Linked DNA regions of Danio rerio. The protein of the gene in region 2 binds, or shares a complex with, the protein of the main gene of each other region. Links are inferred from orthologs where the notes say so. Each region holds a gene or a part of one and is shown on either strand. Other genes may lie near its edges.

Region 1 (6,299 bases), on a different chromosome or scaffold from region 2:
CTCCCGCGTGTGTGTGTGAGGTGTGTGTAATGCAGGACAGGTAATCTGACAGTATTCTCTCCTCTGGCTGCCGTTATCAGTCTCACACTGTCTGAAAGTCTTGATGGTTAGTTTGAACTGACCACATTATATCTTACAGCACATTTACTGAACACAGATTGAGGTGAAGAGTTTGAGCTTTAGCTTTTGGACTAGAAACAAGACAAATAAGAGTGTCTGCAGAGCAGCGTGTCACTAACCTTCTTCAACAATCTCTCCAGCAAACACTTTGGCGATTCCGGACATGGCGATGACCACGTTTTGAGAGACCGATGATCCGGTGATGGACTGAATCAGCTGGAGGACAGAAAGAAATCTGTTTAACTCCAAGACAAAGAAGATGCATCGATAATCACACGCTCATGCACTATTCTGTGCTATTTTGAGGTATAATGGTGTATATAGTGCATTCAACTCACGTCTTGTACAAACAAACGAGTCAAAATGAAGTTAAAACAAGCAAAACAGTCTGCAAATCAAAGGAGTGAGCGAAATAATCTTGTTTTGCCTTTTGACACAAGATTACTCTGCTTGTTTTAATGAAAAACTCACTTCATTTTGACTCATTATTTCTGAAAATGTTTGATTCTTGTCTAGAAAACGCTTCTCGATTGAAGAATTGATTCGTTCTAACCAGTAATATTGAGCACATTTTAGCGTACAGTATAGTTACCAAACACAGACTGTGCAGTTACGCATAACTAAAGAGTCTTAGCTGGTGCTAACTCGCTTTTCAATGCAAGATAATTCAGAACGGTGGGAGTGATCTGTTTATTTGCTCCATCACAGGCTACAACTGTTCTTTCATCATCATCCACACAAAGATTTAATCAACATTAGTGTGGGCAGTTAATGATATAAAAACAGCCTGAATCATTAAAAATGATGATCTGTTTCAGTGAAATGATGCTACATGACACGCCTGCGCCTAAACTAATGCATCACTCACACTCAATATGAAAGAATTGATGGACTTCCAGCAGGGGGCGCCTGTAGACCAGCAGGAATAACATTCAGTTTCTTTTCAGCTTAGTCTCTTTATTAATCCGGGGTCGCCACAGTGGAATGAACCGACAACTTATCCAGCATATGTTTTACGCAGCGGATGCCCTTCCAGCTGCAACCCATATCTGGGAAACACTCTTACACACTCATTCACATTACATACAATTTAGCCCACCCAATTCCCCTATAGCGCGTGTGTTTGGACTGTGGGGGAAACCGGAGCACCTGAAGAAAACCCACACGAATGCCGGGAGAACATGCAAACTCCACACAGAAGCCCCAACTGAACCAGCCGAGACTCAAACCAGAGACCTTCTTGCAGGAATAACAATGCTGCCATTTTCTTTTCAGCTTTGTCCCTTTATTAATCAGGGCTCGCCACAGCGGAATGAACCGCCAACTTTTTCAGCATATGTATTCAGCAACCCATCACTGGGAAACATCCATACACACTCATTCACACACACACACACGCATACACTACAATCAGTTCCCCTATAGCGCATGTGTTTGGACTGGAGCACCTGGAGGAAACCCACGCCAACACGGGGAGAACATGCAAACTCCACACAGAAACACCAACTGACCCAGCTAAGACTCAAACCAGTGACCTTCTTACTGTGAGGCGATTATGCTACCCACTGCAACACCATGTTGCCCAATATTCACAAATTAAACTTAGGCAGACAGCCACACACTGAATAATCCAAACAGACACAATATTTACCAGCTGTAAAAGACTTTAATACTTTCTCTAAACAGATTGATCAACTCTGAATTCTTTTTAAGACCTGTTTTTAATTTAAAGACTCACTCTTTTAATAGCTGCCTTAGGGAACGCCGAGCGCCTGTACATCTCATAGCGGTTCAGCTGCTCTTCAGAGAACGATGATACTAAAACTCTGAAACACAAACACGTCTATTAGTGTTATTATCAGTTTACAGCTACACACACACACACACAACACACACACACACACACACACACACACACAGCTCACTGCATCTTCTGGATTTCGTCTTCATCCACTTTGTGGCGTTTCTCCTTCTTCTTGTCGTGCGGCTCCACTTTCAGCTTTTTGGCAGGAGGAGGATGCAGAGATGAAGATCCCTCCTCCTCTTCATCACCAGCATCTTCAGCAGGCCTCTGAGGAACACAGTGATGCATGGTTGATTTATTTGCATGAGAATGAAACTGAATTCATTGAGGATGCAGAATGAAGAGGCAGAGACCTGACTGAGCGTCTTGCCCTCCTCTTTTACAGCAGTCTGTCCCGCAGCAGGGTCAGAGCTCTTACTGCTGCCCTCCGGACCCTCACTGGACCCCTCGCCCGGTTTGGGTCTGTCCACCGATGTGCCCGCTTCAGGTTTCACACGGGCCGGGTCTGCCATGATTTCAGCTGATGGATCAGGGAAAGGGAATGTGGAAATAATGGACACTGCTGTAGTGTGTTTATCTGCAACACATGAGCGGGAGTCCCTGATCCAATTACAACTGAGCACTGCAATAACACTGTTCTAACTCAGAGTGTCTGTTTCTAGTCCAAATATCTAAAATATCTCAAGAAGCCTTGCTTGTGTTTCATGATTGCAATATATATATATATATATATATATATATATATATTTTTTTTTTTTTGTAAGAATTACTCTGGATGAATACTATTGAATGTAAAAAAAAATTACAAAGATTACAAAAAGCAATTATGTAGAACAAATTGTCATATTACAAAAAAAGAGAGCAACCATTCATTACAATTTTTAAAAAATGTTTATATATATATATATATATATATATATATATATATATATATATATACATATATAATTTTAATGCACATGTATTTAATTAATTATTCTAATCAAATGATTATTTATTTGATTTTAATATTTAATTATATAATATACAATCTTTGAAAAGAGAGAGCAATTTGTTGTTGGTTTACAAAATTAAGAAAAAGATTTAAGGAACATTTAAGGGGAAAAAATGTGTAAACAGGCAACCATTGACTTATAATAGGAAAAACAAACCCTACAGAAGTCAGCGGTTACCGGCTTCTAGCATTCTTCAAAACATCTTCTTTTGTGTTCAACAGAAGAAAGAAACTCATAAAGGTTTAAAACAAGTAAAGCAAGAGTAAATGATGACAGAATTGTAATTTTAGGGTGAACTGTTGCTTACAATGTCAATACTGTCATTACAGTTTATAATTTAGTCTGTGTCTTCTATAAAACATATAGAGGTGAAGTTGGTTGTATATTCTGATATTCAGACATTCTCCTCAATATAATGTCAGAAAAGTATTGTAAATAGGGAAATGATATTAGCAGCAAATGACTATCAAAGTACAGCATTGTTCACAGTCAATTAGACAGTGTTAATGTTGTTTACAAGTCATACTTGCATGCTAATTCAGATCCAATATTCAGAGTAACATGCTAAACAATATAGAGACTGCTAAATGCACCAGTGTGCGGATATAAAACCTACTTTACCTCTAAATATCCATTAAGTCCCCATATATCATTGTTATTGATCGTAAACAACGCGATTAAACAGGGCTCTATCTAATGTGCATTAGCTGTATTAACGTTACACTCGGTCATCTTCAATGTAATGATAGTTTACTTTAGGTGAAAACGGTAACTTAACGATCATCGTAACTTACGATGCTATGTGTATTTGGGGCCGGATTTAACACTTGTTAGACAAAATAAAACCGTGAATTCATAAAAAAAATCAAAACATACCTAAGACCGACAACCGCGTTGAAAATAATGTTTAAAAACACAAAAATCCAACGAGTGTTCTCTGACGAGCGCCTCAGACCGACAAAGTAAACACGAGCATATCCGGTTAAACTACAAAATAAGAGTCCGCACAAGCGTGCACAGCCACGTCAAACACTTGGTGGCGCACAATACTATACATTAAAGCAGCGGTTCTCAGATTTCTTTCATCAAGGACCACCTCAGAAAAAATGTCTCTTCAAGAACCACCATAAGGAGCAGTACTGAAATGCAGAAGTGTAGTAGGCCCAATGAAGCAGCTCTGCACAGTTCAAAAACAAGGCAGATTAATTCCTATTAATACGAATATTTATTATTGTCAGCCACTTTAAACATTATAAATAGTTGAAACATAAACACTGTGCTTACAGTTACAAACAAACAAACAAACAAACAAACAAACAAACAAACAAACAAACAAACAAACAAACAAACAAACAAACAGGGACTAATAACTGATTTAATCCATCAAAATTCACTCGAGCTTTTAGTTTAATTGCAGAAACCCTTTAATTATTCATAATTATATATTTATTTGATAGATATTCACAAATGATTAAATCACATTTAATTATTTAAATGTACCCCTTGCATATAGTTAAAATTTTATGCTTATATTTAAATAATAATAATAATAATAGGCTAATTAATGATGTTATTTCAAATTATCCCATTTCAACTAAACGATATGTACCTAAAATGTCCATAAGGAGTATTTGTTTACTTTTTTATTTTATTAACTTGAGTAAATGTATTTTTTTATTTTTCACTGATTTGTTTGTTTGAATATATTGCCCATTTATTTATTTATTTTAATCAAATATTAATTACTTATTTGTTTCATTTTAATAATAAATATAATTTAATATATACAATGCAAATAATAGATATTTGCACTGATTATTTTAGCATGGTCAGGTTACATAAGTCAAATTGTTTCTTTTATTTTAAAATTGATTAAAATGATTTTGACTACTTGAAACCTAATTTTCAAGCCACTATTAATAACAATAATAATACGCATAATTCATACGAACTGTGGCCTCACAGCAAAAAGGTCTCTGGTTTGAGTCTCGGCTGGGTCAGTTGGTGTTTCTGTGTGGAGTTTGCATGTTCTCCCCGTGTTGGTGTGGGTTTCCTCCGGGTGCTCCGGTTTCCCCCACAGTCCAAACACATGCGCTATAGGGGAACTGATATAATGTATACAATATTGTGTAAACAGTAATTATACCCAGGGTTATTTTTATTAAAAAATGTGTGTGAATGAGTGTGTATGGATAATTTCCAGTGATGGGTTGCAGCTGTAAAGGCATCCGTTGTGTAAAACATATGCTGGAATCATTGGTGGTTCATTCCGCTGTGGCGACCCCTGATGAATAAAGTGACTAAGGCAAAGGAACATAAAAGAATGAATGAATAATAAATAAATCAGTAAATGGACATCACATTCAAACAGACGAATCAGTTTAAAATTAACAATAAAATATAGATGAAACAAAAGTAAATAAAACACTAAAATAAACATAATTACAGTATTATTATCTTGAGTAGAAAAAGATATGCAATAATATTAAAAAGTGCACATCATTATAGTGATTCAGTTTAAAGAAACTCCTGAAAAGGGCTGTAATTATTCCACAAATCCCCGATTAACAGTCACAGATTCTTCTTGTGCTAATATCAGGATACTCCACATAAAGCTTGAAGGGATATATGGCTCAGAATTAGTGATATTATTTATTAAATTGTTTATTAATTGTCTTTATTAATGTCCACCCCTACACCAACCCTCACAGTAATGTAAAACAATAATTATACCGAGCATTACACCTATTATTTATTAAATTACCCATTCAATTGTATTTTATTAACATCTACCATTACCCCAACCCTCCAAAATAATGTAAAACAGTAATTATACCGAGTATTATTCATTTAATTATTAAATTATCCATTTAGTTGTATTTTATTAACATCCCCCCCTCACAGTGATGTAGAAATATTGATGATTGTTGTACGGTGCTGTATTGATGTAAGAACCGCAGCTGTATCCCTTCTGGACTTTACACATAAATATATTTCAATCCCCTAAATGCGTCATTAGTGTAATTAAATGATTGTGCATAATAATTATAATTCTCGCGCGACGTCACCAAGGAGCGCGCCCGTCAGGAAGTGACGTGTCGAGCGGAGCCAGAGGAAGTTTGTGCGGGCGCTGGGAGAGAAAGTTTCCCCGGAGCTGAGGCGCTTGGAGCGGGAAGAATCCAGACGGAGCCGCCGCTGCTGCACCGGAGCTCACCAGCCGATAAAACGCGTCGAGCGGCGGGTGGATGTGGTTTGGGGCTGCGGTGGATCCGTGTGTCCGTGTGATCGTCTGCCTCTCCGCCGAGGGATGGGGAAGGAGCAGGAGCTGCTGGAGGCGGCGCGCACTGGGAATCTGGCCGCCGTTGAGAAGCTCCTGTCCG
Region 2 (6,318 bases):
ATAGTATTTACTATAAATTACTTTAGTATATGTTAATGTGGGTGTCTGATACAGTAACTGAAACAATCTGGTAGCAGATATCGCAGCCTCTGTTACTTTTTACCTTGCACTTTTTTGATAACATTTATTTTTATTTTGTAAGATATGCAGTTTCACATTCTGATTCAAATGCCTAATTATTTAATTTCTCAATAATTCAATTAAATGAAGTTTGTTCATAAACTAATTTCGAGAGGATCACTTGCTTATGATTTATCACGGCCGGTCTCGTATTTGCTAATCACTATCTTCCAATCATATGAGTCCTAAGCTACTATAAATAACCACAGTTTTCAGTTAATTTTATCTACACTTGGAAGAAACCCCCCTTCCTCCCCTATTCTCCTCCTTTACCACTGATCAGGCAGCACGGAGGCCCAGTGGTTAGCACTGTGAGCCCCACAGCAAGAACACTGCCGGCCCTGGTCCCACCAGGCCGGTCGGTGTTTCTATGAGGAGTTTGTATATTCTCCCCGTGTTTCTCCCCGATGTCTCCGGTTTCCTTCACCATCCAAAGAAATATAATGTGTTTTTCAAAAGAGTGAACTTGCATTGCAATGCTATTATATTGTCATTTGGCATTTTATAATGAGTGGCAAAAAATAGATATCGTATCGGCCTGATGCAGAGTGTATGATTTATATTAACAAGGTAGAAAAAAATTAAGAGACCTTTTCAAAATAATTTTCAAGTCTCTGGATTTACCATTAATAGATGCAGGTTTTTATTAAAATGTTTATTTGGGTTTTAAATTGATTTTATGAAATACTCATAACCTCAAAATTAAAGATATCATTTAAAACATTTTTTGCAGAAAATTACAATAGGTGAAAGAAAAATATTCCATATTTTCAGACCTTAAATGTGTAACATACATATGATACGTTGAATGCGATGTTTGCAATAAAAACCCAAAACCTATAAAACATTTTTTTTTAATTATAGGTATAAAAATAATTATAAAAACAATCAAAACATATTCGGTAACATTATATTGCAACTGTTTATATTTTCCAAAACAACTAACCACAGAGTTATGGGTAGGCATGGGACGATAACCGGTTTCAAAGTTTACCGCGGTTTAAAAAAGTCAAGGGTTTAATACTGGAAAATGTTTCTGCTATACTGTTCCTAAGGTATGTATAAGTTTTTTTACGTGTTTTTACACATTTTTTTATAATTTCTTAGAGCAATAGTATCTTTAGCAGAAAATGACCCTCCAAAAATGCCTTTTCAAGTTGTAAAGAAATCTGTGTTTTTTAAAAAAAAAAAACTATTAAACCAGCAGAAGTCAAATAAAATATATTGTGCTTAATGGGGAAAAAAGTTGTTGTTTTTCACAAAGACATTTAAAAAAAACATGAAACTGTGAAATTTTTATCCAGGTTTTTTTTTTTTTATATCGTCATACTTATACCGGCCCATGCCTAGTTATGGGATAAGAAAAATATCAATCTGTAAACATATTCTATATTTTAAATGGGAAAATAAACATGCATTATGGATGTGACCAAAAAGGTTTACAGTACACAGCACACTTTGTAAAAATTCTGTGAATTAAACTGCACAACCCAAAAGAAATAATGCTAATCAAAAGAATAAGAGTTGGCCCACTACAGAACAAAAATGATTAATTTTATTTGACATTTTTGCATTTATGAGTAAAAGGCTTTGTTATGTATGTGACACTTTTCAATTATGGATGTGACAAATGTGAAATTGCCAATTGTGTGACTTTAGTAAAGCAAATAAAATAGTTTGAAACACTGACAGAGACATGTTTGAGTATTACTATTAAATACTTGCTTACACTGAAAAAAAGTGTAAAAACGGTTTCTCTATTTAAGTGAAAACTTTATTTCTTTCATGGCAAGGTTGACATTTGCATGGAATTGCTTATATATGTGAAATACCAGAGCTGTATATACTTTTTTTGTGGTTGTGAAGTAATTACCTACACATAAGCGTGAGTGCAGACAAGGCACTTGTAAGAAAGTAAAAGAACAAGGCTGAAGACTGAACAGTGCTGACTAAAATTACCCAAATGGATGGTCAGACTACACTTCTTGTTAGATTTACATCTATTATTGTATATGAATGCTGAAGACTGGAATCACATTTAAGAAAGAACTTTGGTGAACTCTGACCCTCAAATTTGTATAATCTGAGATGTGACCTCAGATGACTTTGTACATGAATTGATACAAATGTACATGAATGAAGAGTAGCTTATTTTATGAATTATTGATATATATTAGAGCAAATTAAAAAATATGCCACAGAGTAAATATTAATAATTTAAATTAAAATATAGTTAGTTTTTGACTAAAAAGCATGGAGAGGACTTTAACATCAATTTGCTTTCAATCGACTTATAAAGACACAGTTCACCCAAATATTACTAATAATCATGTTGTTGGAAGTCTGCAGGACTTACTTCTCTCTTAATAGAAAGAAAAGTCACAAAGAATGTATGGAGACTGAAGCTGTCAATATGTCTGACAGCTCCTATTGAAGAAAGCGAGTTAGGCATGTTCGGAGTGTGTTTTAGATAAACTAACTTTTAATTACACTCTAATGAAGATATACTTTTGTTTTATGCACTTATTTTTTTCAGTTTGCAAGTATTTCAGGAGAGAGCAAACTTCACACGAAACCAAAACACTCCTCGTAAGTTTCTCTATACACATATCATGTCATTCCAGACAACATTCAGGGAAAGTGCTAATGTGAGCGTGGGGTACCTGGAGGTAGCTGGATATTCTGGATGTTCTGGCCCGGGCTGCTCTGAGGGAGTCGGGGCGCTAACACCTGTGGCGCGCTGGCCCTGATGGTCGGGCTAGATGATGCTGATGCTGCTGCAACAGTTGCCGGAGCTGCGGTTCTCGCAACCCCCTGCAAAACAGCCCCCTTGGCCACTGCAGGGCCGACAGTCATGCTGCCTGCGGGCTGGATGATAGTTTTAGGAGACTCGGACTTGCTCGCGGTGACAGGTGCAGAAGTCTGGTTCAACAAAAGAGGGGTCGTTGTAGTAGTAGAACTAGTAGTAGTAGTTGAAGTAGTAGTTATTCCCGGGGTCGCTACATTGGCTACAGAAATGGTGGTATTATTATTACTTCCGTTAATAGTTAAACCTGCTCCAGCAGTTTGCATAGATGGCCTGACAACTGTCACTAAGGGTCCTGCACTGGATGCTGCGGCTGGAGGAGTCCCGAAAGAAGACTGTATCACTGTGTTTGGGCTTGGGGCGACCGTGACGTTTCCGAGTCCTTTCGCCACCCCGGGCCCGTTATTAACAACCGGGACAGAAGTTGAAGCGTCGTCTGACGATGATGATGATGGACCACTGGACACTGGAGTGCCGCTTTCAGTGTGCGGATCCATTGCATTGCCTCCGTTCAAAGTTTGCACTGTGGACGTCCCGATCAAAGTAGTTACCATAGCATTAAGAAAGACCGGATCGCCTTAGCTGTCTTCCATCTGTGCCTCTGGCACATCAGTTCAGGAAGTTTGGGTTTTCATCGGCTTTTCCCTCCAGTTGCTTTTCGAAGGAAACAAGCGTGAGTGAATGGGAGTCTCGTGTCACAATGTCAATAAGGATTTGACAAGCGCCCGTGTCACCTCAAGTCCATTAGTAACAATGCTCTTGGGAGAAATAATCATCTAACACACTTGAAGAGCGACTGCTTTCATTATGTTCATATGTACAAGAGCTCGCAAAATGTCAACATTAGCTAGTTGAATTGCCTCTTTTCCCGGAGTCAGCGGGGTGATTTTCCGGCTGCCTGGGCGCTTACCTCAAACTTATTATGGCAAGATGTGGAAACGTCTAATCTAATACAACCTGAAGTGTCGGTAAAAAGTTTCTTTCCCACTCTTTTAATACAGAAATCCTTATATAGCAGGTCAAAGCCTGCCGCCATCTTCGATGTGAACAGTGAGGAGCTTTGGATAAAATGACATTGCGCATGCGCGCAAAAGCGGAAACGTCATTACGCTGAAGTTTTGTGGAGCCGCCATTGGTGGTCTCCGTGCGTGGAGGCGGGACATGAGAAACGTCAGTTGATTCTGGCGGAGCGCGGTCAGAGTCGGTCTGTCATCGAGAAAAGGGCCTTGTGAAGTTGAAAAACAACCGTTGAATTATACGGGCGCTGCTCTCGGTTGTGTCTAGAGGCACTTATAGCTGTTATGTGCGGGTTATAAAGCATGTAGAGGCTGTTGTGTGAACTTCACAGCGGGCTGTCTTCCCCCAAGATGGCCCCGTGTTTTGAAGCGTCTGTGTTGAAAGCGTGAAAAGGCGCCACACCTCTGCCAGCGTGACTGGCCATAGAGGGCACGCGTGCTACTGCAGCCATAGTTCACAGGGTTTCTGGTCACACGCTCAATCTTCACTTTAACTTATGCTACACTTTTTCTGTCAATGTGCACAGCGTTGCATCGGGATAAAAAGTCTGTATTTTGCAAGCACGTTATAAATAAAATATGGCTGATTAAATAGTCAACGAAGTGACAGAAAGAACCAATAGAAAGCTCTTTCTTGAACCAATAGTACCTAATTTTTTTCTAACATAATGTGAGCTGACACATTTGCTCTCAAAAGTCCTCCCTTATTTTTATAGGTGTTTTTTTTTTATAATTTGATAACATTTTGTTAAAATAGCAATTAATGAAACTTATATAAAAAACTTTATTTATCTGTGGTTGCCACAGCGGAATAAACCTACTTATCCAGCATGTTTCACGCAGCGGATGCCCCTCCAGCTGTAAACCCATCACTGGGAAACATTCATACTCTCTCTCATTCACACTTATACCCTACTGACAATTTAGCTAACCCAATTCACCTATACCACATGTCTTTGGACTTGTGAGGGAAAACCAGAGCACCTGGAGGATACCAACGTTAACATGGGGAAAGCATGCAAATCCCACACAGAAATCCCAACTGACCCAGCTGAGGCTCGAACCAGTGACCTTCTTGCTGTGAGACGACATCGTTAAACAAGCATCACTAAATATTAGTCGTGTTTTTCTGGTTGTTTTCACTATTTCTAATCATTTCAATTAAGGATGAGAACTTTAACACTTAACATCTATACCAGTGTACTTTACAACTACTTTAATTTACTAATTTAATTAGTTTAATTTTTTAATAATTAAAAAACTATTTAGATACACAAGCATTTTATTGGTATTAATTTTGCACTAATCAATATCACCAGTGAATCAGTAAACAAGTATGAGTTTTATAAAAAAAAAGGCAGATCAGATCAATGTTCATAAAGGTCGCTGATGATGTGTGGTCAACGTTTCTTTCATTTCTGATTTGAATTAAATAATGTTTATGTCATCGCGTAATCTGCTAGATTGAATGGAAAAAATAAACATAATGCTCTGGAGCAGTTGGTTCTTCTTGTATTTACAGTATACAGTGCATCCGGAAAGTATTCCTATCGCTTCACTTTTTCCATTTTATTTTATGTCACAGCCATATTTCAAAATAGATTAAATTAATTTGTTTCCTGAAAAATGTACACACAATACCCCATAATGACAATGTAAAAAAAGATTTTTTGAAATTGTTGCAAATTTATTAAAAATAAAATACCTGAAAAATCACATGTACACAAGTATTCACAGCCTTTGCTCAGTACTTTGTTAATGCACCTTTAGGAGTGATTCCAGCGTCAAGTAATTTTAAATGGGATGCTACAAGCTTGGCACACCTGTCTTTGGGAATTTTTGCCCATTCCTCTTTGCAGTACCTCTCAAGCTCTATCAGGTTGGATGGGAAACAACGATGTACAGTCACTTTCAGATCTCTCCAGATATTCAATAGGATTTAGAGGTCTGGGCTCTGGCTGGGCCACTCAAGGACACTGAAGCTGTCTTTTATTAAGGAATTTTGGAAGAGAAGATAAAAGCATGATTATACCTAAACCATAATTAATTAATATAATTTTCTTATGGCAAAACATTTAATGATAAAAAAAACCTCAAATTGAATGTGAACAAAACGTTTTGCTTTTAAACGATCAATATCAAGGATTTTGTGTTTATTTTAAGTTAATCATGTTTCAACTTATTCCTAACTTGTACATGATCCAACTTAATGTTTTAGGTCAGTTTAATTTAATGCTAATTTGATTTCACCTAAAAATTCAGTATGTATTAAATCGCAGCCCTGACTTTCTCTGCTCATTCGCTCACAGTTTCAATGACAAGCTGTTTGTTCTAAAAGAGATTTAAATGATTGTATTTGCATCACAGGTGCGGCTC
Region 3 (6,435 bases), on a different chromosome or scaffold from region 2:
GCCATCCCTACCTGGAATGATAGCTCATGCGACAAATTTCATAATTCGCAGCATTGGAAAGTTCAAGCTTGGAGAACGCTGACATGCGAAATCACATCATGTGATTGCTTGATACCAATCAAAGATCAAAACATGACCTCTCTGGCTTGCTTTTTCAATCTCTAATTATTTTGTTTAATTCCACTACTCGCTTTGTTTAATTCCACTTCGCAGTGCAGTATGACAGAATTTTGCATGCTCAAACGTTAATGTGACCGCAGCCTTACTGTGCAGACCTGTAATATGCAAGACAATATTTATATCTGCTGATTTATTAATTTTGTTATACTTTTACTGTTATTTATTTGTTTGGTGCCAAAACAATAAAATAAATTTGTCTGAAAAATGTTATGCCTTATATTTTTTAATAACAGCTAAGAATACTGATTAATTTTAGTAACACTACAATAACTATATATGACATACTATTAATGTGTATGCAGTATAATGCTGTGATTTGTAACACTACAATACAGTAATTAACTGTACACAGTTTCCAGTTAGTTACCACTGCTGCTCTATTACAGTAATTAACTGGCAACACTGTTGCCAGCTACTCAATGTATCGGTTCAGTTACAGTAAAAAACTGGCAACACTGTTGTCAGCCACTCACTGTAATGGTTCAGTTGCAGTAAATAACTGGCAACACTGTTGCCAGCCACTCACTGTAATGGTTCAATTACAGTAAATAACTGGCAACACTGTTGCCAGCCACTCACTGTAATGGTTCAGTTACAGTAATTAACTGGCAACACTGTTGCCAGTTACTTACTGTAACCGAACTTTTACAGTGAGTGGCTGGCAACAGTGTAGCCAGTATTCTACTGTAAAAAAAACCCGATAAGGTCTAACAGTGTACTAATTTTTGTTCATATAGCTATACGTTACCATTTATATATTATATATACTTTTATATATATATTATATATATATATATATATATATATATATATATATATATATATATATATATATATATATATATATATATATATATAAGTTTGCATTGTATGCATTCAAATTGTTTATCACTTATTGTTTCATAATATTTATTGTTACCATTTTTTACAAAGAAAAAAATTAAATATGCTAAATATGGGAAAGTCAGGATCGCAATTTGTAGCAACAAATAACAAAAAATGTTAAATAATAATGACTTGGTAATTTGTTATACCTTAAGTTATAACTCTTAAATCATAAATCAAGTTAAAAAATATATTTTTATATGTTTTGCATAGGTCCAGATAATATGTAAAATGGCATGAAATGCTTTTTTTTTCTTTTCATTTTCCATTCCTCACTTTTCTGAGGATTAAGAATTTTTAGATATTTGGACTAAAACCAAATCAGAAACTCTTAAGTAAGAAAAGGATTTTTTGCAGAGTATTTATACACATTTTTTTTTTTTTTAGTGAGCATTAAGAATTTTATGCAAGGATTCAGCTTCATTTAAAGACAACTGGCAATCTCTAGAGATATTGTTGTCAATAAATAAATGTAAAAAAAATCTAATGTTGTCTAGGTTTTTGATTGTCAGGTAGCTAAATGGTCCTTGAAATTTTAGAAAGTAGTAAATTGTTTGTCTAAACGTTCTGCAGCTGTCTGGTAGTCAATACCACTGCATTCTTATCACAGCACATCATTACGCCATATTACACTGTATTGTACGGTTATAATTGTGTTATTGTCAAAATGCAACTTTATATATAAACAATACAACAAATTTCATCTCTCTATATAAAAGCGTATAACTAGGCTACAATTAACCATTACACTTTCCAACTATTTGTGTTTTGAATTTTTCTTATTAGATTAATCTAAATTAATTTGCCAGTGGGCTTTTGCATAGCTGAAATTGTTTGGTGAGTGTATCAGTTCTGCATATTCTCTAGTGAGTTTATAACTCACTTTCTGATAAATTAACTTAGCGTTCTTATTCAGCGTAATCTAATGAAAAAAAAAAAAAAATATATATATATATATATATATATATATATATATATATATATATATATATATATATATATATATATATATGTGTGTGTGTGTGTGTGTGTGTGTGTGTGTGTGTGTGTGTGTGTGTGTGTGTATTTATGAACAGGACATTTAATAATCTGGGAGAGTAGACTTCAAATGTATTGTTTGGCCATGTATCTTCCATCCCCCCTACTGGACGCATTAGGAACAACAGCGGCGTAAAACTGTGGCGTGTAAAATTGCCTGAGCCGTAAAACTGCCTAGATCCAAGTCTGCAGATGTCCCATATAGGGGTCTGCAGCTTCCCCTTACTCGCCGCTTCACCCAACCCAACAGCAGGGGCACTGTCTGGTCTGTCTGTGCGCGCTAGTCTGAGCGTGCAGTTGGGTCTCCGGGCCTGCAGCTTCCCCTTACTCCACTCGGGCGAGGCGGTGTGGTGAGAAATCGAGTCCCCCTGCAATCGATTCCGAGGCAGTCTATGTCATGAAAGATGCATAAAAATGAACCTATATACACTGCTTCTTCTGCATTAAATATTTGCTGAATAATTTGTAAAACGTTCATTTATAACTATTCTTTTATAAAGTGTGTTTAAAACATGACGCTAATATGAGCTTGTAAAAATATACGTGCGATAACGTCACATTTGTTTTAGGACCTTTCAGCAGATTCAAAATGGCGAATTTTCGGAAAAATGGTTCGGAACTAAATGGGCTGTGCAAAGTATTAACAAACCAAACAAACAAATAAAAACACAAAATTCGTATTATATAATACAGAGGATTTACCCGTTTTGTTTTATTGTTTTCAAAGCGGCAGCTTTAAATAGACATAGCTGCAACCTCCTTTTGAAGGTAAGAAAGACATGCTGTTCACTTTTGCTTTTGTGCACGTTTATTACAGAGAAGCATGATCCAGTCGTACATTAATAGCCTTTCGACACACACACACACACACACACACACACACACACACACACACACACATATATATATATATATATATATATATATATATATATATATATATATATATATATAAACAACGCAGGTTTATGTAGCGGTAACGCACAGACAACGTAGTTTATTTACTTCTTTACTTCTGAGTATTTGATCAGTAACGTTAATTACATGGTCTCAAATAAGCAATGCAAACTCATATTGATTCTAGTAGAAATACTAAACTATTTTATAATTTAGAGTTTGAGAATTTATAACAGGGCAACGCTGTGGCGCAGTAGCAAGAAGGTCGATGGTTCGAGCCTTGGCTGGTTAAGTTGGCATTTCTGTGTGTAGTTTGCATGTTCTCCCCGTGTTCGCATGGATTTCCTCCGGGTGCTCCGGTTTCCCCCACAAATCAGGTGAAATGGGTAAAGTAAAATTTTCTGTAGTGTATGTGTTTGAATGATAGTGTGGGTGTTTCCCAGTGATGGGTTGTTGCCTGAAAGGGCATCAGCTGCGTAAAACATGTGCTGAATAAATTCGTGGTTTAATCCGCTGTGGCGACCCCTTAATAATAAAGGGACTAAGCCGAAAAGAAAGTAAATAAATGACTGATCTTATAATACATAGTAATAATTGGACATTTTATAGAGTTATTATAGTACTTTTACGATTCCTAGTAGGATGCAAAGCTGTTCTCTGTTAAGAAGTGTAGCGTTACGCAAGTTTGGGAAGTTTTTCTTTTTTTTTTTTTTTTTTACAAAATACATGCTTTAAATAGTTATCAATATTATACATTTTTATTTAGCAACTTACTCGAAATACTTAAGAATATGCATATTTTAAGCTAATTAATACAAATAAATAGGATTCCATGCAGTTTTATGCTGCATTCCAAGCTTTAAAACGAATCCAAATACACAGACACAACTATTCTAAAAATAGCCAAAACAACCATCATAATTCTTCAAGTTATAAAAAATAATTGGGTAATTTCTACAGAAACATCTATTTTTAGCATGGCAATTCAGACAAGATGTTTAAACATTTATTTCTTTTTTAACATTTAAACTTAGACCACATTATTCAATTTCTTTTTACAGAAGGATATCCAGGACAATTTTTAATATGTGGATGCATAAATTTTGACCCAATCCAAATGTAATAGCAAGTTGCACATTTGCAATTGCATTTCCACTTTTGTGAACGCGCAGTGACTGCCACATTTCAAATAAAAAAAGAAAAGTCCATTTGAAAAATGCATTTCCCATGTCTTACGAGCTATGGGCCTGACATATCTGAACAGCTATATTAATTGCTTCACTTTCTTTTTTATTAAGCTAGAAACAAGAAAAAAAATGACAACATAAAATATTTGCTTTATCACAAACTGTAGTAGCATTATTGGTAATAAATATTGAGGCAACAGAGGCAACGTATATAAGCTAGCTTGAAAAATTGTTTATTAAATATAGATTGTATAATTTGAAAACATGCAGTAAAATCATAATGGTTTTACTTTGCAAAATTATGCTACATACAGTACATGTAAATCACACTACAAGATGGCTAGTAGATGGAGCTTACAGATCAGTAATAATCCCATCATTATGAAATTTGCTGAATCACAAGTATATTGAATTAAGCCCATTTATACATAACGTTTAGATGTTTGATAACTGCAAATAATGTCAGCATATATTTTGCTAATATTTTCAGATCTCTTAAAACAAACTACAAAAAATCGTTGAAACATTATTAGGCTACTATGAAACTTAAACCCGATTATTAATTAATTAATTCATTCATTCATTCATTCATTCATTCATTTATTCATAGTCTTTTCGGCTTAATCCGGGGTTGCCACAGCAGAATGAACTGCCAACTTATCCAGCACAATTTTACGCAGCGGATGCCTTTTAGGCTGTAACCCATCTCTGGGTAAAGCCTGGTTTAAACTTCTGCGTTAAGTGACCGGCGTGACCCACGGCGCATGCAACGGGTGTAGCTGTGCATTTATACTTCTACGCGCTGTCTCTTTTGATCTGAATTAACACTTCCGAAACGCTAGTTGGCAGTAAGGTGTTTATGTTCCTCTGTGTTGAAATTCTTCTCTGCTGTTTTGCTTTTCCTGAACACTTCCTGGATGTACAAGTGGCTTAAACTTGCTCATTTTGAGGCATCTTTTGTGCAGTCTGGGATTTGAGAAAGAGATGCGCGGGCTTTAAAGTGTCACGAAACACCAAAACACGTATTTTGAGCTGTTGACAGTCGTATATGTGTCCCACACTGCTAAAAACACTATTAGGACACCTATATTTCACCAAAAAGTGTAAATTGGTTGTTTTTGCGTTATTTTAAGCAAATTCGTACTTCCGGTTTGAAACGAATTTTTGAAGCTGCGTCACGGTCATGACATAATAGCGTTGTATTCCAGCGTGCAGACTGGGCGTCTGTGCCAGAGTGTGTCTTGTTACGTCTTACAGTGTGATGCATTAATGCATGAGTAAAGCTTGGTTCAAACCAATCAGCGCGCTCTATTGTGGAACTTTATTAATATTCATTACTGTCGTAGTGTTCAGACGGCAGAGACGCCACGTTGTGTTGGCAAAACAAGCGTGAAGTGTTGCTTTTATATCTTGCTGCCGTTAAGTTTTGTTTTCATTTTCTCTCTGTGAGAGCTCATCTGGATCACGCGTGGATTAACAGTGTACGCGACGCTCGACAACAATAACTTGCGTGTCTAAGGAGGATTATTGTTTACCTGAGAGCTGTTCTCATCTGCAAACGCTGAGATCCGGATTCGCTTGTAGTATTCTCTTCATAAAGACGCGGCTCTAGTTGCTGGGGATTGTCCTGTCTCTACAGATTTGGTAAGTGAGCGACCAGTGCTCTTTGTTTATTCAGTTTGTTCGTATCGAACTAAGTTAACTATTGCACCGAGTGCAAACATGTTAGCACCACAACCAAACTTTACCCTCGTGTAGGGTTTTTACGGCATTTTGTGACCAGAATAACACACGCGGCTTTCTGACGCTACCTGCCGTGTGCATCTAAGTTTCTGGAAAATGCTGAGTTTTTTTTCTCTCATTCGCCGTGCGGTATCAAACATTGCATGAAAAATACACGCTTAGAGCAGTTCCTCGAATCAAATATCTCGTTTGTCGCAAGAGGGCATGAATGAATTCCCTGAATGAAAGAGCCAAATTGCAGTTAAAGTCCACCATTTAATAATTCGACTACAGATGTCCATGTAGGGTAAATACCATCACTTTCTCCTGTGTGTGAGTATTTTGACTAAAACTCGCGCGTGCCCAAATAGACACTCCCACACCCTGCCACTTTAGTTCCTCAGACACTCCCCCCTAAACAGAGCTGGACACGCCCACTTTGCTGACTTTTTCCAAAGTAGAGGTGTGAAAACACCCTGCTGAAACGAGGGGGTTTTATGGCCCTTTAAGTCAGAACTATTAAATT
Region 4 (5,954 bases), on a different chromosome or scaffold from region 2:
TATGCACTTAATTTCCCTCATTTAAAAAAAAAAAACCTGTTTTCAACACCTGAAAGTAGATCAAATAACAAAGATCAGACAAATAATCAATATTTGCGATAGACCTATATGTGAAAATAGACTTTTTTAAGCCAATTTAAAAATATATTGACATTTATGTATTTTTATTGTCCTCCCTACAGGTGCTCAGTAAGAAGAAGCTGCAGGACCTTGTTCGAGAAATTGACCCTAATGAGCAACTTGATGAGGATGTGGAAGAAGTACGTGTGTCTTATTATTGATGATGTTCAAAAGTGTTCTCACACATTCATTGTTGACTAGTCAGTTTGTTGCCCAAATTACCATTTTAAACACACTTGAATAATAAATAGTTGAGTTTGTGAGAAACAAATGGGATTTTAATTGCAATGATATATAAAACACTTAGGGAAATAATCAGTTGATGTACAGTTGCAATCAGAATTATTATCCCCCCTGTTGAATTTTGTTTTTCTTTTTTAAATATTTCTCAAATTATGTTTAACAGAGCAAGGACATTTACACAGTATGTCTGATAATATTATTTTCTTTTGGAGAAAGTCTTATTTGTTTTATTTCGGCAAGAGTAAAAGTAGTTTTAATTTTTAAACACCATTTTAAGGTCAAAATTATTAGCCCCTTTAAGCTATATATTTATAGTATACAGAACAACCCATCATTATAGAACAACCTGCCTAATTACTCTAACCTGCCTAGTTAACTTAAATAATCTAGTTAGGCCTTTAAATGTCACTAAGCTCTATAGAAGTATCTTGAAAAATATCTAGTAAAATATTATTTACTGACATCATGGCAAAGATAAAATAAATCAGTTATTAGAAATGACTTATTACAACTAATATGTTTAGAAATCTGTTGAAAAAAACTGCTCTCTGATAATAATTCCGGATTCAGGGGGTTTAATCATTCTGATTGCAACTGTATATTAGACCTGAAATATCTGTTTTTGTCAGTTCAAGAATTTAAACTATACTATATTTGTACTATAATGCATTATAGTGTGTGTGTGTGTGTGTGTGTGTGTGTGTGTGTGTGTGTGTGTGTGTGTGTGTGTGTGTGTGTGTGTGTGTGTGTGTGTGTGTGTGTGTGTGTTTTTTTACTATATTTGTACTATAATTCATTATATTTTTTATGAAGAATGCATTGATTTTGTCAAATTCAAATAACAATAACACTATTACAACAACAACAACAACATCAAAAAATAAATAAGTGTTTTTTTAAATGCTGCTTTGTTTATCAAATGATGCATAAAAAATTAAAGATGATAAAACTAACATACTTGAGCACAGACTCAACAAATTCAGAATGATTTCTGAAGGATGAAAAAAATGAAGATTAGTTGAGTAATGCCATCACAGGAATAAATGACATTTTTACATTTTATAATTATTGTTATTATTTCATTACTTTTATTAGCGATTACAGCCTAAATGAAAAAGAACAGTAGAAGGATATGCTAACATTACTGTTACTACAGTGTTGTCTGTTGACCATTTGTTTCAGATGCTGTTGCAGATAGCTGATGACTTCATTGAGAGCGTGGTGACTGCTGCATGCCAACTGGCCCGACACAGGAAGTCAAGCACTCTTGAAGTAAAAGACGTCCAGCTACACCTTGGTGAGGATCTTAAATGATCATTTTATCCATGGACTTGAGTGCTTCATTTGAATACATTTGAATAAGTACACTTTTAAAAGGGTAATTCACTCAAAAATGGAAATGTATTCCTTATTTACACTAAAAGAGATATTTTAACAAAAAGATGAAAACCAGTGAAACAGAGGCCAGCAAAGTGAAGTGCTATGCTGGTTCAATGGGTTGGGTGCAGTAGGACCGGTGGGCTACAGATGGGGGCTCGTCCAGGATGGGAGTGAGGTTTAAGGGGCTGACTGTAACGAAGGCCAGCTAGTGAAGTGCTACGCTGGTAAACCTCACTCTTCTGACCTATAAAGGTGCTTTATCAACAGACGCTAGAGGTCATGGTCTTTAGCCTCCTTGTTAGAGCAACCGACTCCCACACAAAGAATCGCTGGTTAGATCCCAGCTCAGAGCGAGTTGGGTGCTATAAGACTGGTGGGTTACACTTGGGGGCTCGTCCGGGATGGAAGTGAGGTTTAGGGGGTGAGTGTAACGAAGGCCAGCTAGCAAAGTGCTAAGCAGGTAAACCATATTCCTCTGAACCTCTAAAGGTGCTCTAAGGACAGACGCTAGAGGTCATGGTCTCCTTTTTAGAGCAACCAACTCCCATACAAAGAATCGCCAGTTCGATCTCAGCTCAGAGCAGGTTGGGCGCAGTAGGACTGGTGGGTTACATGTGTAACCATTGACTTCCATAGTAAGAGAAATGCCTAATATGATTGTCAGTGGTTAGAGTTTTCAGACTTTCTTCAAAATATCTCCTTTTTTGTTCAACAAAAGAAAGAAAGTAATAAATGTTTGGGAACACTTGAGAAGAGTTTTTTATGCAAACTATGTCTTTAAGGGTATTTTATAGTCGTTTAATAAGTGACATGTTTTTCTTCTTATTTTAATACCGTTTGAATAATTAAACTTAAAGGGATAGTTCACCCAAAATGGAAATTTATTCACTGTTTACACTAAAGAAGATATTTTGAAGAAAGCTGAAATCGCTAACTTCCATAGTAAGAGAAATAAATACAATTTAAGTCAATGGTTACAGGTATCCAACTTTCTTCAAAAGATTTCTTTTTGTGTTCAGCAAAATCAAGAAAGTCATAAATGTTTGGGACCACTTGAGAATAAATAAATAAATGATGACAGAATTTTCAGTCTTGAGCAGACTATCCCTTTAAGGGTATTTCATAGTGATTAATGAGTGACATGTTTTTCCTCTTATCTTAATACCGATTGAATAATTAAACTTAAAGGAATAGTTCACCCAAAAATAGAAATTTATTTACTATTTACACTAAATAAGATATTTTGAAGAAAGCTAAAATCGCTTCAGTTTTAGGCAAACTATCCCTTTAAGGCTGTTTTATAGTTTGAGTTAGATGTTTTTCTTCTCATTTAAATACCATTCAAATGAATTATCCCACATAGTTTGAATGTCTATTTTTAAGAACTGTCCTCTTGTATAGTGAGTATACTAAATTTTCAATTTCCAGAACGACAGTGGAACATGTGGATTCCTGGTTTTGGCTCAGATGAGATCCGACCGTATAAGAAGGCTTGCACCACAGAAGCTCACAAACAGGTCAGCCATGCACTAAAACCGATCACCTAAAGATGATTTTGAACAATCACTTCACTAAATATGATTTCTGTTCTTTCAGAGAATGGCACTGATCCGCAAAACAACCAAAAAGTAGCAAGATTGGAATCACCAACAAACTTTATTTCCCTGCAAGTTTTGGAAAGTGGAGAGGGTTTGAACCTATACATGTCATGGTAATCAAAGGGGCAAAAAAAATGCGATGTACTGTTTGCAGTACAGTTCTGTTGACATTTCGCGTTTTGGAAGGTGCACAGAAATTATTGTAATTTGTCTGTACAGTTCACTTTGCGTTAAAACCACCACGTGAACGTTTTGTTTTGGGCACCTTGGTGCTATCCTGGGGTTTTATTATATAATAGAATCCCTCAAAGCTCTGCTAAAAACATAAATTGTTTTATTATATTACCCACAATCCACATTTTCCTTTCATATATCTCTTGTATAGACTCTTTATGCAGTCATAGATCTTTTGCTGAGCTGGCATTAGAAGCTATGCACATTTACAATCATCATGTGTCTGATTTGTTTATAGTGTTTGCTGTTCTAGAATTCGTCAATTAAGTAATATCTAGTGCTATAGAGGAATCCCTAGCGTGGTACTTTTTGAAGGTAAACCAGAGAGATGATTACCACTTCCCTGTGTAATTAATTGCATTGGAACTAGTGAAATAATCCAAATCTTAATTGGTTTAGAGAGGGATATATATGTGTGATGGTGCGCAAACCCCTTCTGCTGTGGGTTTGCGGGCAGGTTTAAACCTTTTTGTGGAGTTTTTTTTTGGTCATGTATCACAGTGTTTTACAGTCTCCTGTTTTTCATGAATAAAAAAAAAAACTAATTGTGATTTATTCACACCAAAGTCAGTCAGGTTGTGTATGACATTATTACAGAAATGACTGGAAAAAAATAAAAATAAAAATAAAATAAAATATATATATATATATATATATATATATATATATATATATATATATATATATATATATATATATATATATATATATATATATATATTTCTACAAACCTTTACAAGTTAGTATACCTTTAATAAATCTTCAGGATAAGCTCTTAAAGGTGCAGTATGTAAGTTTGACACCCAGTGGGGTGAATTAGGTAGTGCGCTCCTGGTTCAAAACATACGCAAGGGCAGGTTGCCAGATTGATGACACCAACAGCAATGTGCCTGACTGTCGAGCCTAAAGGCTTACTTAAACTGTTCTAAATAAAAGCAACTGCACTCGATACAAGGAGTATTTTCAGGGCTTGACGTTGACTTTTTTGATCACCAGCTACTGTGGCTAGTAATTTTCCTACGTTACTAGCCACTTGCCATTTTCGCTAGCCACATTTTTGCTGGTGGGAAAATATATTTTATATGCATAAATTTGACTTTGACATGCTAAAATTATTTGATTTAGACTTTTTGTTATGTCCACATGCCTCCTTGTTCATTTCACTTTTTTGTTGTTGTGTATGAACTCATGATGTGCATGAGCAAATAAGTTATGGCTTCATAGTGTCGCATTGCAATTAGTTTTTATTTCACATGACTTTTCTGGGCTCAACACTAAGGATTTACCAAATTTATCTCTGACCACACCAAAAATAAATAATTATTTCATAGCCATTAATTTTAGATAATATGTCAAAACAAGCAAAATATAGCTATATACATGCACTTTTTGATTCAACAAAACTTTTCTTAAAAAAACAAAAAAACAATTGACATTTTAAAAAGAATTATTGGCATGTATCTAAAACTATCTGTGGCAATGAAAGGATGATCATACTCACAAGGTTAACATTAGATTCATTAATAATTTGTTCAATGAATGGTTAAAGCGAAAGCAGCAACTGCTGCTGCTTGCAAAAAGACATCTGGAGCTCTTGAAAGCAGCAGGACTGTGGGTATTTGATCATTGTTTTTTGTCTAATTCAGTGGTTCTCAAACTGGTACACGTACCACTAGTGGTCCAAGCAACATTTTCAGGTTTTGATGAATAGGATACTACAGGTTAATACTTTACGATCAAGTACAGGAGTTCTTTTTATTTTATTATTTTTTTTTACTTTTTAAGAACAGTAGCCTACCATTTTTAAGGAACTTTTAAACGCACATTTTAATTTAAATGTTGACATTTTACAGTTTGTTCGTTTTTTTTTTTTTTTTTTACATATAAGCACAGTACAGTTAATGTTCAAACTATTGATAATGTTTAAAGTGGCTGATAGTAATAAATATAATTAATAATTGTAGTTAATCTGCCACATTTTTAAACTTTGCACAGCTGTAGCTGCTTTGCTGGGCCTACTATGCTACTGTATTTCAATACTGGTCATAATAGTGGTACTTGGCGGGACAAATTTTTTCTGAGGTGGTACTTGATGAAAAAAGTTTGAGAACCACTGGTCTAATCTATTTCAAAGAGAACCAATTGCACCAGTTACGTTTCCAGGCACAGTTGCATCGCACCATGAAACGAGTGCATATCGCATCACCTCTACGTGTGGATCATCCTCTCATTCGGCATTCATATGCTTTCTTTTGCTTGCTTGAAAGCTTTTTTTTGTCATTCATGCTGCTTCTAAGATCACATTTGCACGAATATTGCACTATACTTATTGTAGAACCCTGCTTTTAAGAAAACTACAATTTAAAAATTATTTTCAAC
Region 5 (5,797 bases), on a different chromosome or scaffold from region 2:
AAATGCAGAAACGAAGACATGCATAAATGTTGTCATTTAAATTTATATTGTAGCAATATTTCTCCATTAAATATCGGTCATTGTTAAGGTATCATATCAAATTTAGAAATTCCTGTATTGTGGCTCCACTAGTGTGTTGTATATAAGGAAGCTGGCCAGTTCACAAGTAAAGCCTTCTGCTGATTCCAGTCTTTAAAATATATAGATAGTTCACCTAAAAACGAACATTTCCTAACCATTACTTGCACTAAAGTGGTTTTAAACTTTGATTAATTTCATTCTGCAGTTAAAAAAGGTTCAGAATTTTTCAAGACTTCTATAGGTAGGAACTAAAAAAAATACTATGGAAGTCAATTATTTTTTCAGATTGTCTTCCTCGGTGTTTAAATATCTTATTAATAATATTCATATTAATCTCATTAATCTAATATGTTCTCTTAAAACCTGTCTTTGTTTGTTTCAGGGGGTGTTGAACTTTGTTCAGTATAAGTTCAGTCATTTGGCTCCTAAAGAGAGGCAGACCATGTATGAGCTCAGTAAGATGTTTCTCCTCTGTCTGAACTACTGGAAGCTGGAGACACCGTCACAGTTTCGGCAGAGGGCTCAGAAAGAGGACGCAGCGGCATACAAAGTCGATTATACTAGGTGCTTGTGTTACTGTGTTCTATTCTAAATGCACGTTTGTAGGATGTGTAAATATAAACACACACACACACACGTAAGGTATAGAACAGAGTGTGATCTCATTTCCTCTATGTTGTATGTATTTACTATGTGAAAATGTTTAGGATTTATTTCATATGAAGTCATTTACTGTTATTACATTATCAAGTACATCTAATGTGTGACCAAAAAAGATGGTCAGTTTACTATTTTGAAATTAGGTTTGCAAATGTACAGTGGGTACGGAAAGTATTCAGACCCCCTTAAGTCACAGCAAACGGTCTTAATACTTAGGACAATGTGATATTATGTTTTCCTTTTTTGATAAATCTACAAAAATGTCAGTAATTCTGTGTTTTCTTGTCAATATGGAGTACTGTGTTTACATTAATGAGGGAAAATTTACTTAAATGATTTTAGCAAATGGCTGCAATATAACAAAGAGTGAAAAATTTAAGGCCGTCTGAATAATTTCCTTACCCATTGTACATCTATCACAACAAATGTCAAACTGAGTTTTCTTTTCCTTTTGCAAAAATTAATGTACACATTTTTAAAAAATAATCAATAATTTAGAACAGTTAAATTGTTTATATTGTTTTATAATGATTTACTCCCCAAACTTATTGCAGCTTCCGACCCAGAATATTATATTCTTTTGAAATATAAAAAAAATACAGAAATATCTATTTAATGCATAAAAATATGTTGTTTTGAAGTTTATTCATCAGAAAATCCCAAAAGAAAAGTTTGTTTCCACAGAAATATTAAGCTTTATTAATTACATAAAGCTTTAACATTTAATAACAGTGTTAGTTAAGCACAACATAAGCATATTGAAAGGAAATTTTATGTGGATCATGTTACACTGAAGGCAGCTGAAAATTTACAACATAGGAATAAGTTCAATTGTAAATAAAATATAGGGAATTAGAAAACAATTTCCATTTGTAATGCTTTTTCATAATATTTATGTATTTACCATCTGTGAGGATTAGAGACTTTCAAACACAATAAAATATCAAATTTGAGTCTATCTTAATCTGAATATACAGAGTCATTAATCTAATTACTGTTCATTTGTTTTATTACTATTATTTCTGTGTGTGTGTGTTTTCAGGTGGCTGTGTTACTGTCACGTTCCTCAGAGCAATGACAGCTTGCCACGGTATGAGACCTGTCAGGTGTTCGGCCGCAGTTTGCTGAAGTCCATCTTCACTGTCACCCGCAGACAGTTACTGGAGAAGTTCAGAGTGGAGAAAGACAAACTGCCGCCAGAGAAACGCACCCTCATCCTCACACATTTTCCAAAGTAAGACACGTTACCATGTTATCAATACAAACTTCAAAACTATCACTCTCTCATATCCTGAGTGTGTGTGTGTGTGTGTTTGTGTTAGGTTTCTTTCCATGTTGGAAGAGGAAATCTATGGAGAAAACTCTCCCATCTGGGAGGCAGACTTCACCATGCCAGCCTCAGAGGGCACACAACTGGGCCATCAAACAGGTGTGTGTTTTTATGGAGCCAGATCAGTTTCAAAAATAATACATTTACAAAATTAATTTAAAACTTGCACAGCACAATTCACATTCACAAAATCCAATTTGTAAATTCAAAGCACAATTCACAAATACTACTCATAAAGATAAATATAACTCGCATTCATAAAGATAAATATAACTCGCAAATCATAAATATTTTTTACAGGATGAATTGGATTTATCTGTTAATAAATCGTGTTTTAAATTTGAATACACAAATTGCATTTGTGTATTTTTGAATCGTATTCGAATTACGAATTAGATTAGTGAATTTACGAATCATGCTTTGAACTTATGAACTGGTTTTTGTGTAATTACAAATCATGCTTTGAACTTATGAACTGGATTTGTGTGTTTACAAATCGTGTTTTGAACTTACGATATGGATTTGTGTATTTTTGAATCGTCCTTTGAACTTATGAACTGGATTTGTGTATTTACGAATCGTGTTTTGAACTTACGATATGGATTTGTGTATTTTTGAATCGTGCTTTGAACTTACAAATTGGATTTGTGTATTTTGCAAATCGTGCTTTGAACTTATGAGTTGGATTTGCGTATTTATTAATCGTTTCAAATGTATGAACAGGATTTGGGTGTATACGAATTGTTTTGTATTTTGAATCGGATTTATGTATTTAGAACAAAAAATTTGTGTTTTGATCTTGCGAATTAGATTTTATAAATGTGACTTTTGTTGTGGAAGTATGAATAATATTTTGTAAATATATTATTTTTGAAATTTGATCTGGCTCTATAGTTTTTGGTGGTTCCAGGGTAAAAGTATTGTAATCGATTGTAATTATCGGCAGTATTTTTTGAGACTTTTTTCAACATTCATGCCAAAGTGATTTTTCACTGGCAATGAAATGAGTGAATGTGCAAAATTACTCTTGACGTTACACACCACAAAAAAAAAAAAAAAACTCCAGTAAACATAGTGTCGCTGCACAATGACGCTCGCTTATTACACAGAAGAAGATAGCACCCTCATGCTTTTAACTGGTCTTTATTGCACAGGGTTTTCCACTTCTGTTTTCCCCCCTTCACTACAACACAAATACCTGTTTAAAAAAGTTACAAGCTAAGAAAGAAAATGAAGTGGAATGAAACTCACTATTGAATCCTTCTTGATAATTCCTGTGTGCTCTTCTACACCTTTTTTTACTTGAGTGCTACCAAGTCAGGTTTTTACTGTAACTACAGCAGCTCAGGACATGGAACAAAAGTGCCAATATCATTCAGGGCTCGAAATTGCGACCATTTTGGTCGCATATGCGCCCGAAAATTAATCTATGCGACCTCATAATATATATGGGAGCATTAGTGCGACTGCAGATAATGGTTGTAGTGCGACCTGTTTTGATTTTTTGTAAAAACGTGCTGAATCGCTCTTCCCTGCCGCTATATTGGTTCATATTAGCTGTCAATCACTCAAGGTATTCCGCTGTCAGATGACATGGAAGGAGCTTTTATGACCACAGGAAATGCAAACGGCTGAAGAGTGAAAACTTAACTTAAAGCACACAGGTTTGCAAACCCCACCTAAAGTTGAGGCGCAGATGAGAGCGATCATGACACGTCACGTGGTGAGTAATGATCCACCAGCTGAGATCAATCGAGTACGCGCTTCTTAGAGAAGGCGCCCGAATCTCCATGCTTTGCATTCACTGCGTGTTCAGCGCAAATGTCCGCTAAAAGTCAAATCTAATACTGTACATATCATCGCCAAAGAAGCTCGCCTTTACTAAGTACAAAACAGCAGTACAAAATAAATATTTCTTACTGCAATGCTTCATTTTTGTTTAATGCAAACTATACAATTATTTTTCATAAAGTAACAGACTTTTTATAGCAGATAATTCATGCACATTCAAGGCAGTATCATAATGAGAAATGGAATTCATTGTTACTATTGTCATTTTTTATCATCATTAATATTCTATGGCCTAATTATTAGACATTCATTTTGGAATTATTGCACACAAATATCAATGTCTTTGCAGCATTAGTTAGATAGTTGTTTCTGGTTTTTGTCAGTCCTATTAATGTTGTTTTAAAGTACAATAAATCCCTTAAAAAACAATTTGCAGCTGTGCTCATTCATTTTTGGTGGGTGCTCCTAAATTTTTTCTGGTGCTCCTAAAAATTTTTTGGTGCTCCTAAATATTTGAAGTTGGGAGCACCGGTGCTACCAAGTAAAAAAGTTAATTTCGAGCCCTGTCATTGGCTCAGGTTTTTTTCTAATTATAAAAAATAATAATAATTTATAATGCCTGATGTTTTTTGCTTTGAGATGCACGCTCACATTATCGACCTTTATTTCAGTCACAAAGTGTTAAATGTTCACAATAAACCGCCCAATATGCACAAGTCTTTAAAGCAGGGGTGTCAAAAATACAGCCAACAAAACCATCGAATCAGTCAGAAGCCGCCTTTCCACTGCACACGACATTTGGAAACAACTGTCGGAATACACCCCCTTGTGGCAGTCGCACAGTATTTTCAGTTCTGACTTGGACTATGGGAGAGAAGCTGTTCTCGCAGTGTCCGAAATAATAAGGGAGTGGAAAAGCAAGAGCTTATATTCTCTGTGCATTCACCATGGTTGAATGAATGAATGAATGAATACTAGAAACTCATACACCGCTAAAAATATTGGAGGGAATGTGGAGACAACATAAAAATATATATTTTTATTACTTAATTACTTACATTTATCAACAGAATTTTATTTTTATTTTTTAATATACACTTAATATACACATAGTCTCAGGAGTTCAAATAAGTCAACGGATCCGCATCTCAATTCGGATCTGATTATTCCGCACAGAGATACCGAGATAATCTGAACTCCACGCAGCTTCCGGACTACTCTCCATTGGAAATGAATGACTTCCAGTCTGTCGCTTGTCATTTGTCGTGTGCAGTGGAAAGGAGGCTATACAGTTATATAAAAAAATAATAAACATAAAAAGCAGTATTATGAGAACAAAACAGTCTTCACTACAATATTTTATTTGAGACTCAACAGACAGCTTAAAATGGAAAAAAATTAATTATCTTAGATTATTCATATGTTAAAGTATCGGATATACCTAAACTATTTTGATTACAACAAATCTTAGTTACAAAATGTCTATTATCCTATCTGAATTTCAGCTCTAGTGGCGGCATCTTTTTGTATACGCAGTTGTACCATAAGTTATACCAAATCAGTTTTAGTCTTCATCATTTGAAAATGCATGCAAAGTGTGTTTGCTTTTGCATTCTCAGAATGTCAACAACACAAACTGTTTATGACCATTTGCTGCCATTATGCCTATTTTTAATACAAACTACTGATGGCTCATTTTAGGCATTTTTTTTTTTATTTTTTAAGAGGAAATAATTGTATTTATTGTGTATTTCAAAGTTTTAAATTTTGCGGACATTTTATATTCATAAACCTATATGTCACACACCACAAAAAGGTCATGCTTTGTTGAAAATGTGTTTCACTGTAGTTTTGATTATGCAGTTTAACAGCAATGCATCTGCCATTGTGTTTGCCCACATAGAGAATTAGCTTTTAATGCTAGATTGCTTTAAA

The links.
Region 1: taf4a (region 2) and taf11 share a complex: the UniProt entries of both Homo sapiens proteins name them as parts of the TFIID basal transcription factor complex. The link is inferred for Danio rerio from reciprocal best matches to the Homo sapiens genes TAF4 and TAF11.
Region 3: taf4a (region 2) and taf6 share a complex: the UniProt entries of both Homo sapiens proteins name them as parts of the TFIID basal transcription factor complex. The link is inferred for Danio rerio from reciprocal best matches to the Homo sapiens genes TAF4 and TAF6.
Region 4: the proteins of taf4a (region 2) and taf12 are in contact, whole or in part, in a crystal structure (PDB 1H3O), measured with the Homo sapiens proteins. The link is inferred for Danio rerio from reciprocal best matches to the Homo sapiens genes TAF4 and TAF12. Residues at the interface, in NP_003176.2 of Homo sapiens: Phe872, Leu873, Leu874, Pro877, Leu878, Arg880, Arg881, Ile882, Ile885, Gly886, His889, Gly890, Ile891, Thr892, Glu893, Leu894, His895, Asp897, Val898, Tyr901, Val902, His904, Ala905, Thr906, Gln907, Gln908, Arg909, Leu910, Gln911, Leu913; in NP_001128690.1 of Homo sapiens: Val57, Leu58, Thr59, Lys62, Leu63, Leu66, Val67, Glu69, Val70, Glu74, Met83, Leu84, Ile87, Ala88, Asp89, Phe91, Ile92, Glu93, Val96, Thr97, Cys100, Ala103, Arg104, Ser108, Ser109, Thr110, Leu111, Glu112, Val113, Lys114.
Region 5: taf4a (region 2) and kat2a share a complex: the UniProt entries of both Homo sapiens proteins name them as parts of the TFTC-HAT complex. The link is inferred for Danio rerio from reciprocal best matches to the Homo sapiens genes TAF4 and KAT2A.

Annotation. Positions count from the first base shown.
Region 1 is NC_133198.1:378,825-385,123, reverse strand, and holds the start of taf11 (transcription initiation factor TFIID subunit 11), read right to left. Parts: upstream 3,890-6,299; 5' UTR 3,541-3,889; intron 2,502-3,540; 5' UTR 2,437-2,501; coding exon 2,278-2,436; intron 2,192-2,277; coding exon 2,046-2,191; intron 1,947-2,045; coding exon 1,859-1,946; intron 337-1,858; coding exon 240-336; intron 1-239. UniProt on the Homo sapiens protein: The TFIID basal transcription factor complex plays a major role in the initiation of RNA polymerase II (Pol II)-dependent transcription.
Region 2 is NC_133186.1:23,088,586-23,094,903, forward strand, and holds the start of taf4a (transcription initiation factor TFIID subunit 4), read right to left. Parts: upstream 4,001-6,318; 5' UTR 3,481-4,000; coding exon 2,784-3,480; intron 1-2,783. UniProt on the Homo sapiens protein: The TFIID basal transcription factor complex plays a major role in the initiation of RNA polymerase II (Pol II)-dependent transcription.
Region 3 is NC_133180.1:58,921,499-58,927,933, forward strand, and holds the start of taf6 (transcription initiation factor TFIID subunit 6), read left to right. Parts: upstream 1-2,697; 5' UTR 2,698-2,871; intron 2,872-6,435. UniProt on the Homo sapiens protein: The TFIID basal transcription factor complex plays a major role in the initiation of RNA polymerase II (Pol II)-dependent transcription.
Region 4 is NC_133191.1:38,664,877-38,670,830, reverse strand, and holds the end of taf12 (transcription initiation factor TFIID subunit 12), read left to right. Parts: intron 1-182; coding exon 183-260; intron 261-1,545; coding exon 1,546-1,660; intron 1,661-3,171; coding exon 3,172-3,260; intron 3,261-3,339; coding exon 3,340-3,375; 3' UTR 3,376-4,145; downstream 4,146-5,954. UniProt on the Homo sapiens protein: The TFIID basal transcription factor complex plays a major role in the initiation of RNA polymerase II (Pol II)-dependent transcription.
Region 5 is NC_133178.1:16,337,369-16,343,165, forward strand, and holds part of kat2a (histone acetyltransferase KAT2A), read left to right. Parts: intron 1-463; coding exon 464-645; intron 646-1,783; coding exon 1,784-1,975; intron 1,976-2,063; coding exon 2,064-2,170; intron 2,171-5,797. UniProt on the Homo sapiens protein: Protein lysine acyltransferase that can act as a acetyltransferase, glutaryltransferase, succinyltransferase or malonyltransferase, depending on the context.